3 linked regions of the Saccharomyces cerevisiae S288C genome follow. The gene in region 1 interacts genetically with each later gene. Each region holds a gene or a part of one and is shown in the gene's direction. Other genes may lie near its edges. The genes, in order: LDS1, FMP41 and SCD5.

Evidence for each region.
Region 2: mutations in LDS1 (region 1) and FMP41 together harm fitness more than expected from each alone (negative genetic interaction), as found in Saccharomyces cerevisiae (one large-scale study listed by BioGRID).
Region 3: mutations in LDS1 (region 1) and SCD5 together harm fitness more than expected from each alone (negative genetic interaction), as found in Saccharomyces cerevisiae (one large-scale study listed by BioGRID).

What each region holds. Positions count from the first base shown.
Region 1 is NC_001133.9:117,934-121,512, reverse strand, and holds LDS1 (Lds1p), read left to right. Parts: upstream 1-1,971; coding exon 1,972-2,949; downstream 2,950-3,579. Other genes in the region: serine/threonine protein kinase PSK1, read right to left, coding at 1-1,288; DNA-dependent ATPase FUN30, read right to left, coding at 3,199-3,579. UniProt on the Saccharomyces cerevisiae protein: Involved in spore wall assembly.
Region 2 is NC_001146.8:317,530-320,591, reverse strand, and holds FMP41 (Fmp41p), read left to right. Parts: upstream 1-1,782; coding exon 1,783-2,562; downstream 2,563-3,062. Other genes in the region: SKO1 (Sko1p), read left to right, coding at 1-1,176; PSD1 (phosphatidylserine decarboxylase 1), read left to right, coding at 2,921-3,062. UniProt on the Saccharomyces cerevisiae protein: Tautomerase that converts enol-oxaloacetate, a strong inhibitor of succinate dehydrogenase, to the physiological keto form of oxaloacetate.
Region 3 is NC_001147.6:936,074-940,859, reverse strand, and holds SCD5 (Scd5p), read left to right. Parts: upstream 1-1,510; coding exon 1,511-4,129; downstream 4,130-4,786. Other genes in the region: DNA-directed DNA polymerase gamma MIP1, read left to right, coding at 1-1,239; ATP-binding cassette multidrug transporter PDR10, read right to left, coding at 4,363-4,786. UniProt on the Saccharomyces cerevisiae protein: Regulates both fluid phase and receptor-mediated endocytosis. Involved in vesicular transport at a late stage of the secretory pathway. Regulates actin cytoskeleton organization.

The sequences.
Region 1 (3,579 bases):
AACCTGTAAATTCATCAATTTCCTCCTTTAGTTCATCTGTATCTGCGATCGGATTATCTCCAATAAAATTATAGTGCTCAAAGAATGGTTCTGCAAGACTATCCAGCAAAATCTTTTTAAGCTTTTCAGTTCTTTTATCGCGTTCTGAATTATTTTTCTTGGGATCTCCAAGCATTAGTTTATTCAAATTGAACAACGATATCATATGAAGATCCGAAGCTCTCTCGGAAGTATTTTTCTCCAGTGTTTCGTTTAATAAATTCAGAAGACTTTTCAAGTTCGCTCTTTGTTCATTCAATAGATCCATAGAGGGTCCATGGTGCGGTAAAAAAGTTTCATCTTCCTGATATGCCCTCTCATTGAGTAAACTGCTATTGCGGAGATTGCTAGTTTGATCCTTGAAGGGTTGTCTAAAACTTGGCCTTTCAGGACTTATGTTGTTTCCATAGTCGCCACGAAATAAAGAATTATTATGTTTGAGCAGCGGATCTTGCTCAGGTAAGATGGAAGGTAAATAAGCCAACGAGTTGGCTCTATGGAATGTTTGAGAATGTGTTGGATCCAAATTAGGGAAAACTGGGGTGCCCGGTTTTTTGTTAGATAAAGCAGAAGATGCTGCTGAGGAGGAAGAGGTATTATTTACAAATGCATTTAAAGTAGCGGAAGTAGTGTTCCAAATCTGGCTCTTATTTCTGTTCATTAAATGGTTTGCAGAAGCCGATGTCCTTGGTAAACTGCTCCTACGGCCCGCAAACTCTTTCAAAGGAGGCAAATCATCTGGAGTAGGCTCCAGTAGCATACTTGGGTTTTGTATTATGATTTCCAATGATCTCTTCAAAATCCTCAATCTGACTGCCAGGGAATTTGGCGAAAGTGGATTGTACGAATAAGAATGAGTTGATTCATTCGGAAGAAACTCTAACTCCTTTATGTCTTCATCCGTTAAGGGCGATGATACGGTTGAATCAACGGATGAAGAAGCTGTCGAAGGAAGTCTTGGTTGTTCAAAATCTAAAGGAGGTGGGGGTTTAGTCTTCCGAAAGCTCGCAAATGTATCTCTTAAACTTTGCTCGAACTCATCACCTTCCTTTTTATTCGGGGTTGAAACGTCACTTAAAGACGTATCGTAATTTTCTAATTCATTGTCAATATGGTTCTCTTGATCGGGGCTCGGTGGTGTCTGCAAAGATGCTACAGAACTGCTCGTACCTTTATGTGTAATCGCATGTTTTTCCTTCAAATTAACAAATGAATGTTCTGAGAGGTTGGAAGCACCGATGTAGGGCATTACTTCTTTGATGTTTACCTATATGCAAATTAGGGAGAGAACAAAACAAAACAAAACAAAACAAAAATAGAAGAAACAGAAAAACAAAGGTGAAAAAAAACAAAAGAGGGAGATGACGAACGGAAACTTTCACTCAATTGGTAAGCTACTGTTTCTAATTTCTGACTTACCAAAAAGATGCAAAATAACTATAATATACCGCTGTTGTGACGATATCCGGGGTTTCTAATCTTTTATGAGCTTTTGTATAGCAAAAAGGTGCAACGACGCCTGAAACAAAGGAAAAGAAGAGGATAATAGGAAAATAATACAAAAAACTGCACTTTGTAACGTTGATTTCCTTTTCAACGAATGCTATGTTGTGGTTAGCGACCTGCCCCTTGCCAAATCTTATTCACCACTTCCTTAGCATGTAATCATTTACTTAAAAAACCCTTGTTTTAATATTTATTACCCGCCATGGAATAAAGCACGTGACTCAATAATACGACGGGATCTTTCTGGTTTTGTGACACATGGAATAATATCATAGTAATAAGTATTATACATATACATATATATATAGATATAGATGTGGAAAAGGAAGTTTCAAATCATTTTTTATTTTCGTTCTTGCCACGAATAAGTGTTGTTATAGTGTAGGGAACAAAGGTACATTATACAAACAATAACAACAACAGGAAATGAGTTTTACAGGTTCATTAGCGCTGGCAGGTATTGGTGGTTTGGTGTACAAGTTTGGCGGAGGCCAATCGTATGAAAAACTGCCATATGTCAACATCCCCTTCAATCAGTACTTGGATAAAGTTTACAAGAAGCACTTCAGCAAAGTTATGAGCCGTACCAGATACGTGCTAATGAACTTTTTCAAAGATGCATTCACAGGAGGTGCATTCATGTACCCGTTCAAAGGGTTTTTAGAGTTCAACACCAATAAGAGCAGTTACTCAACGACTATGTTAGGTATATTATCGAGTTACTTGATAATGTTTGCCCTGGTAAGCTTTGTGTATTGGGCTACAATTACGCCAATGTACACAGCTTTTTTGATTGTGCTGGGCCCTATTGGGCTTTTCATTGCCATTTTTCATTCCTTTTTGCAAGCAAATGTTTTCACTTTATTGTTTATGAGACTCAGTCATTTTAATAATCATTTAGTGGAGGTGTGCTTAGAGAAGAATGGTTTAGAGGAGAATTTGAGTGAAGTCAAACCAATCAAGTACTATGCACCTATTAACTCGATATATTTCTGGGCTTACTATTTCCCATTCAAGTTGGTCAAGTACATGTTAGGCCTGTCGGTTCTTTTTGTGCTGTTGGTTATATCTTTTTTCCCACTTATTGGACCAATCCTTTTTCATATTTTAATTTCTCCTTTCATCACTCAAATTTACTTCACGAAAGTTTTACGTTTACAAAATTTCGACAACATACAAAGACGTGAAAATATTTATCTCCACGCTGGCCAATATGCCTCATTTGGTTTCTTGGCCGGTTTGATTGAGTCCGTGCCCATTTTAGCGGGCTTTGCCATTTCTACAAATACTATTGGTAGCGTTTTATTTAACCTTGATCATCCAATGGTCCCTGAAAATTTAGTAGAAACTCAAGCTGAAATTGAAGCAGCACCACAAGATATCAATCAACAACCGAATCAATAAATTGAAAAAAGTTCACCATTTCTCTCCCCAGATTAAAATTACCTAGCTATACATACTAACCTATGTATATATACACATATATGTATATTATACTCTAGAAAATATTTTTACCGTTCTAAATTTCTTTGTCCTTTGTTCTATCAACTCTCTTTTTCCACATGGTGCGTTCACGCAGAAGAAAATAAATATGTTATTTTTTTGGTTTATTTTCTGCTTATCTATTTACTTTTTTACTATATTTTTATTTATTTATTCTTTGGTTCCCTTCGGTTTCGAGTTTTCATCATAAATTATATCCTCCAACATATCACTAACTTTACTTTCCAACACATCTTGAGATTTTTTATCTTCACTGATATACGAATCTAAAGCTAGTTTATTTTTGGCCAGTTGATGAATCTTTTCCTCTATGGAATCCTTAGTAATTAAAGTGGTTATATTAACTTCCTTTGTTTGTCCCACACGATGTGCCCTATCAGCAGCTTGTCTGTCATCATGTGGGTTAAAACTTTGATCGAATATAATAACATTATTTGCGCACACCAAATTAATACCGAATCCACCTGCCTTTGTTGATAAGATGAAAATGGGAATATCCTTATCTTCATAAAACTTATCTATTAGTAGTTG
Region 2 (3,062 bases), on another chromosome or scaffold:
GTCACAGTGAATGGAAGTATTGAAAACCACCCTCATGTTAATATAATGCACCCAACTGTAAATGGTACACCACTTACGCCGGGATTGAGTTCTCTGCTAAACTTACCATCTACTGGAGTTTTGGCTAATCCAGTATTCAAATCAACACCTACAACAAATACCACAGATGGTACCGTCAACAACAGCATCAGTAATTCCAATTTTTCCCCAAATACTTCAACGAAAGCGGCTGTCAAAATGGATAATCCGGCAGAGTTCAATGCCATCGAGCACTCCGCTCATAATCACAAGGAGAATGAAAATTTAACGACTCAAATTGAGAACAATGACCAGTTCAATAACAAAACACGAAAAAGAAAGAGAAGGATGTCTAGCACAAGTTCTACTTCTAAGGCTTCAAGAAAAAATTCCATATCAAGAAAAAACTCAGCAGTTACGACTGCACCAGCACAAAAAGATGATGTTGAAAATAATAAAATTTCAAACAACGTAACACTTGATGAGAATGAAGAGCAAGAAAGAAAAAGAAAGGAGTTTTTAGAAAGAAATAGAGTAGCTGCATCTAAATTTAGAAAAAGAAAGAAAGAGTACATCAAGAAAATTGAAAATGATCTACAATTCTATGAATCTGAATATGACGATCTAACTCAGGTCATTGGGAAGCTATGCGGCATAATACCCTCAAGCTCCTCGAATTCCCAATTCAATGTGAATGTTTCAACTCCGTCATCATCATCACCACCATCTACATCTTTAATAGCATTGTTAGAGAGTAGCATTTCAAGGAGTGATTATTCAAGTGCAATGTCAGTATTATCAAACATGAAGCAATTGATATGTGAAACGAATTTTTACCGAAGGGGAGGCAAAAACCCAAGGGACGACATGGATGGCCAAGAAGACAGCTTCAATAAGGACACTAACGTTGTCAAAAGCGAAAATGCGGGCTATCCTTCCGTTAATTCAAGACCAATAATTCTAGATAAAAAATACTCACTGAACTCTGGAGCAAATATCAGCAAAAGTAACACAACTACTAATAATGTGGGAAATAGTGCACAGAATATAATCAATTCATGCTACTCTGTTACTAATCCATTGGTAATAAATGCAAATTCCGATACCCATGATACTAATAAGCATGATGTACTATCCACTCTACCTCACAATAATTGACGAGATAGCGACGGGGTTCTTAAATAGTCTTCTATCTGATGCTTTCGTACTCTTCAACCTGTCCGCTTTTCTCATTGCAAATATTCCACTATAAAGTTCCTTTTAAGAGGAAATCCCTTTTATTCTCCCGCTTTTTTCTGTATTTATGTAACTTCAAGATTTTTTTTTCTATATTTGATATAAACTTTAATAGGGTTCTTCTTTTCAGAAGTTTATCAATTGCTTAAGCCTCCTTTTGTTGATCAACAACAATAAAGGCTTTATTATCGTAAATTTTCCTACAGCATTTATTCTTCATAGAGCATACCGTTATAATTTCACCGTCTTTTCACTACGCTCATAAAGAGAGTACAGTTATACTGCTGCAACCCTAGCATGTATCAAGCTGTGCTGCTTATACCTATTTTGAAAGGGCCATTCCTTCTTTTGCCATTCCTTTTTCGTCTATTTTCCTAAATAGCTTCCTTAGCCTCACGTTTTTTTGTTCGCTTTCAAGAGATGGTCACCGTTCTCTAACTGATAAGGAAAAACGTTTCAGCCAGAACTTCCTATATAGAAATATTCTGAAAGCTATCGAGTAAAGACTCAGGAAATTGCCAAAACGTTATGAGCTACAATTATTTGAAGGCAGCTAGAAAAATTATATGCATTGGGCGTAATTACGCAGCGCATATCAAAGAGCTGAACAATTCAACTCCAAAACAACCGTTTTTTTTCCTAAAACCAACCTCGAGTATTGTGACACCATTGTCTTCATCATTGGTCAAGACCACTAGACCTGCAAACTCGACTTTCAATGGTTTAAATGAAGACGGAACTAACCCCGGGCCCATTTTTATCCCACGCGGTGTGAAGGTTCATCACGAAATTGAGTTGGCATTGATTGTGAGCAAACATTTGTCCAATGTCACTAAGATGAAACCCGAAGAAGTCTATGACTCTATTAGTGGTGTAGCTCTAGCATTGGATCTTACAGCAAGAAATGTCCAAGATGAAGCCAAAAAGAAGGGGCTACCTTGGACTATAAGCAAGGGTTTTGACACCTTCATGCCAATCTCTGCTATAGTCTCCCGCGAGAAGTTCTCATCCTACAAATCAAACTTACAGGATATTTTCAGAGTCAAGTGCTCTGTTAACGGACAGTTGAGACAAGATGGTGGTACTAACCTCATGTTGCACCCACTCCATAAAATACTGCAACACATATCTACCATGATATCTCTGGAACCGGGTGATATCATTTTGACTGGTACACCTGCAGGTGTAGGCGAGTTAAAGCCTGGTGACCGTGTTCACTGTGAGCTATTGCAGAATAATGACAATATTGTCGACATGAACTTCGAATGTGAAAATCGGCCGGGACCATATGAATTTAGAGAAACATAATGTCTGTCGCATTCACGCTTGTCGCAGATAACACGTTATGCGTTACTAATTTCCTACAAGCTTGGCACATATACGACCAATTGTGCTTCTGTATACGCTACGCTATGTAATCACATATCACATGCAGGGTAACCAGCACCTTTTTGGTGTTTTTTCAAATCTCGAGGTCAAGGGACATCTAAAGCAGGCACAAGCATGTGGAAAATTTGTTCTTCACCTATAATATAAAACAGCTTACTCACAAAAGAGACGCCTAGAGGTACGTAGCGCTTTAAGGACTCTTCAGCCAGTTGTTAGCAGATCGCTCAAATCCTTCTTGGTCGTTATTTTTTGAAGAAGAAGGAAAAGCAAAGCCAGCATGTCAATTATGCCAGTTAAGAACGCCTTGGCGCAAGGGAGGACGCTCCTCATGGGGAGGATGCCTGCTGTAAAGTTTTCTACAAGAATGCAATTAAGAAATAGAACTGCGGTGCTATGGAATAGAAAGTTTTCCACGCGTC
Region 3 (4,786 bases), on another chromosome or scaffold:
AATCTGAGGGCGAATTCCTTTCTACCTTCAAGAATCAATTGGGCCATCCAGTCATCTGGAGTGGATTATCTACATCTTCTTTGTTGCTCCATGGAATATATTATTAAGAAATATAACCTTGAGGCAAGGCTTTGCATTTCCATCCATGATGAGATTAGATTTTTGGTGAGCGAAAAGGACAAATACAGAGCTGCTATGGCTTTGCAAATCAGCAACATATGGACGAGAGCAATGTTTTGCCAGCAAATGGGGATAAATGAATTACCGCAAAACTGTGCCTTTTTCTCGCAAGTAGATATTGATTCTGTCATACGTAAAGAAGTCAATATGGACTGCATAACCCCCTCGAACAAAACCGCCATTCCTCATGGGGAGGCGCTTGATATCAATCAACTGCTAGACAAATCCAATAGTAAATTGGGTAAACCAAATCTCGATATCGACAGCAAAGTATCACAATATGCCTATAACTACAGAGAACCTGTATTTGAAGAATATAATAAATCTTATACTCCAGAGTTCTTAAAATATTTTCTTGCGATGCAAGTCCAGTCAGATAAGCGCGATGTGAATCGGCTAGAAGATGAGTATCTGCGGGAGTGTACATCCAAAGAATACGCTAGAGATGGGAACACTGCAGAGTACAGCCTCCTAGACTATATAAAGGATGTCGAGAAGGGCAAAAGGACTAAAGTACGTATTATGGGATCCAATTTTTTAGATGGTACCAAAAATGCCAAAGCTGATCAACGAATCAGATTACCTGTCAATATGCCAGATTATCCCACACTTCATAAAATTGCTAACGATTCAGCAATCCCAGAAAAGCAATTGCTGGAGAACAGGAGAAAGAAGGAAAACAGGATAGATGACGAAAATAAGAAAAAATTAACCAGAAAAAAGAATACCACGCCTATGGAAAGGAAGTACAAAAGAGTGTATGGTGGCAGGAAGGCATTTGAAGCGTTCTATGAATGTGCAAATAAACCGTTAGACTATACTTTGGAGACAGAAAAACAATTCTTTAATATTCCTATAGATGGAGTGATTGACGACGTTCTGAACGACAAATCTAATTATAAAAAGAAACCATCACAAGCAAGAACGGCATCATCATCGCCAATAAGAAAGACTGCGAAAGCAGTACATTCCAAAAAATTGCCGGCAAGGAAGTCAAGCACTACAAATAGAAATTTGGTTGAGCTGGAAAGGGACATTACTATTTCTAGAGAGTACTAGGCAAAATCTGCATTAGCTTTCGCATTTGTATTTATATATACAGCACATTATAATATTATTTTTTTATTTATTTCTACTTACTTTTTTTCGCCAAATGAGAAAACAAAAGTAAGTTGCCCCTATTAGAAAAAGAGTTAACATTAGGAAACGGGGACAAAACAAAAGGTAGAATTCAAAATAGGAATTCAAAACCCAAATTATCTGCATCTTCTCGTTAGCTAAGATTTTATAGATCATTGCAGGCTCGATAAATTTTACATGGTAACGAAACATGTCGTTTGATTGGCTTAATGTTCCGGGATTGGACTTAAGCAGCGGGGACCAAGCAGAAAAGAGGCCATCGAATGGATTAGGACCACCCAGTGTGTCTTTTGATTTTGGTATAAATACTGCTGCTCCACATGATTCCAGCTTTTGGGATCAGGGATCAAGAAGTCACAGTGATACAACTTTGTCTTACAGAAATAATCACTCAAATACAGCAGCTGATAATGCCACTAACGTGAGCTCTCCTCAAAAGGATAATCCACCTAATGGGGAGGTACGAACACTTTCTGGAGGCGATGTGTACGCGGAGTCACCAGAAGACATGCAAGTCCCATTGTCTTTATCACAAAACCAACTTACCCATGAAGAAATAAGGACATATCTAAGATGGTACCACTATATATGTTTGAGAACCCATGGAAAACTAGTAAGATTGAACGACGTGTTTAGGTTCTTGACCAATTTTAATTTATCACAAAAAGTAAAAGATAGAATTGTGGAAATTTTCCGTAGCTGTAAAAATGCGTTAAATATTGGTCAATTTTTCGCTGTTTTAAGATTAGTTTCTAGAGCTATTATATATGGCATCTTACCTCTAAGACGCATGATCTTGGAAAAGGCACCTGTTCCCAAACCACGTCCTATCCTAAGTAGTGAGAATCACGAAGAGGTGTACGAGGAGGTGGAAGACGATGATAGTTCTGCCAAAACTGGTGATCAAAAGGTCGATTTTGACTCATTTGCTTCATTGCTGTTGACTGGTAAGACAACGAGAAAAAGAGTCAGGAGAAGAATCAAAAATTTGAATTTTAAGAGTAAGAAGGTTAGGTTTTCAGAGCATATAACATTTCAAGACCCTCCAAACCTCAATCAAGAATCATCTAATAATAGTGAAGCAAGAAAGCAAGATCCTGATGCAGAAGATGAAGATCAGGATTCTAATAATGACAGTCCTTTGGATTTCACATTGCCCATGGATCAATTATTAAAGAGGCTATATAAGCGGAGAAAAAACAGCGGATTAGTTTCGAGTTTGCCCAGCGAACAACAAGAAACTGAGGAGGAGAAGAAAGTTTTGGAGGATATGAAGGATTCCTTGTCCCATTTCAAACAAATACAGACTGTTGATTCTGCCTCATTGCCAATTTCATCGGTATTTTTACAGAATGGCAATACTCTACCAACTAGCAATGTGAATAACACCACTGTTCCACAGCAACTTCCGTTAGAACCTTTGAAGCCAACCGCCACAGGTTCAGCTAATCACCTGGTGCGAGAAGAATATAATCAGGGGTTGCATCCAAGCAACGGTGCCATCCAAACAGGTTTACAACCTTTAAAACCAACAGCAACGGGCTCTGCAAATTATTTGATGCGAAGTCATATGGAACAACCTCAGTCTATCAAACCTTCGAGTACACCAGAAACAGTTACAAACTCTGGGGGACTTCAACCTTTGAAACCTACCGCCACAGGTTCTGCAAATTACTTGATGAAACAGCATATCTCACCTTCAGTTAATAACCCAGTATCTTCGATGTTTCAGGCGCAATTTACGAACCAATCTTCATCTCCACAAAGTACAGGACCAGCATTTCTGAATTCTCCGAACATTACTCTTCCTCAAAGCAATCAACAGCAACCTTACCAAGAGGTTAATCCGACTCAAGCGAAAATTGAACCATCTAACATATCGCCTCAACACACCTACTCTAACAATGTTCGGATTAATAATGGTAACATCGTATCCATGCCGAAAGTAGAAATAACTGGTGCATTCCCCCCTCAAAACACTCTTCCTCAACATCAGCAATCGCATTTGCTTTCTCCTCAAAATACGATCCCGCAGCACCAACGGTCGCAATTGATATCTCCACAAAATACCTTCACTCAAAATCAGCCCATTCTTTCTCCGCAACATACTTATTCCAATAATCAAGCAACAATGATATCCCCCCAGAATACGTATACTAATAATCAACAGCAGCCCCAACATCTTCCACCTCCTCCACCTCCACGCGCTCAGCAGCAGCAACAAGGGGCCATTGTGCCACCTCAACATATGTACTCTAACGTGCAAAAGCAGAATAATTTGGTGCCGACCCAACCCTCCTATACAAATTCACCAAGCATACAATCTCCAAATTTTTTGTCACCTCAGAATGCTGCTAATAGTTACTTTCAATCTTTACTTTCTTCTTCACCATCTCCAAATCCTACGCCATCAAATGCGTCTACTGTTAATGGCAATAACGCCAGTAATGGCATAAGTTCATTCCAAAATACTAGTGCGGCAATGAACAATACTCAATCTCATCAGACGTATATTCAGCAGCAACAACAACAACAAACTCAACAACGAATATATGGTGGCCAACTTTCTCAAATGCAACAACATCCGGGGCAACTTCACTTAAACAACAGTGATATACATAGCCAACCTAACAAGCCTAATTACGGAATGCTAGGGCAGCAAGTTCATCAACAGCAACAGCAACAGCAGCAGCAATTTCCATTCACTGCAGATGTTAATAGATCCAATTCAAGCGATATTTTGGGTAACTTGCAGTCATTGCAGCAGCAAGTCGATGCTTTACAAATCCAATATAATAGGAGACCATAGTATCGTAAGCTAAACGAGGTGTATAGTTTTGAAAGATAATATATGTAGGTATATGTGTACATAAAGTCACAAAAGTGATGTAATTTATGAACACCTGTTTACTAGCATTATTTATTGTCTTGATTATTGAGCTAGTCTTTTAGTTTCACCAAACATTTAGCAACATGGCGTAAACCTCTGAACAATAGTTAACTAATTTTGCATATACAATGAATGTAGCCAGTAATATTTAATTATTTCTTTAATTTTTTGCTTTTCTTTGGAACCCGCACCAGCCAGTATAAAAATATTGCTGCACAATAGTCAAAGACAATATATGCACTAAAAATGCCATAGTTCATCCATCTACGTGAATACGAAGAACTCACAGTCGCCAGATAATCATTGGTAGAACTGAATTGACAAAAGTGACATTCAGTTTCGGAACTCCCATCGAGCAGATAACCCGTCCCGGTGGATTGCATATAAGGTTCCATATATTCCGAGCATGTCATACCGCTTGGAGGAACAATTTTTAAAAGTTCGTTGCTGGAACAAACGACACTAGCATTGGCCAGTCCTACCGATAGCAGAGCATCAATGAGGTATGTCAGTGGCGATACTCTATACATAAAAATCCAGAATCTTGGTAGAATATTTGGCGTAGCCAGAACACCG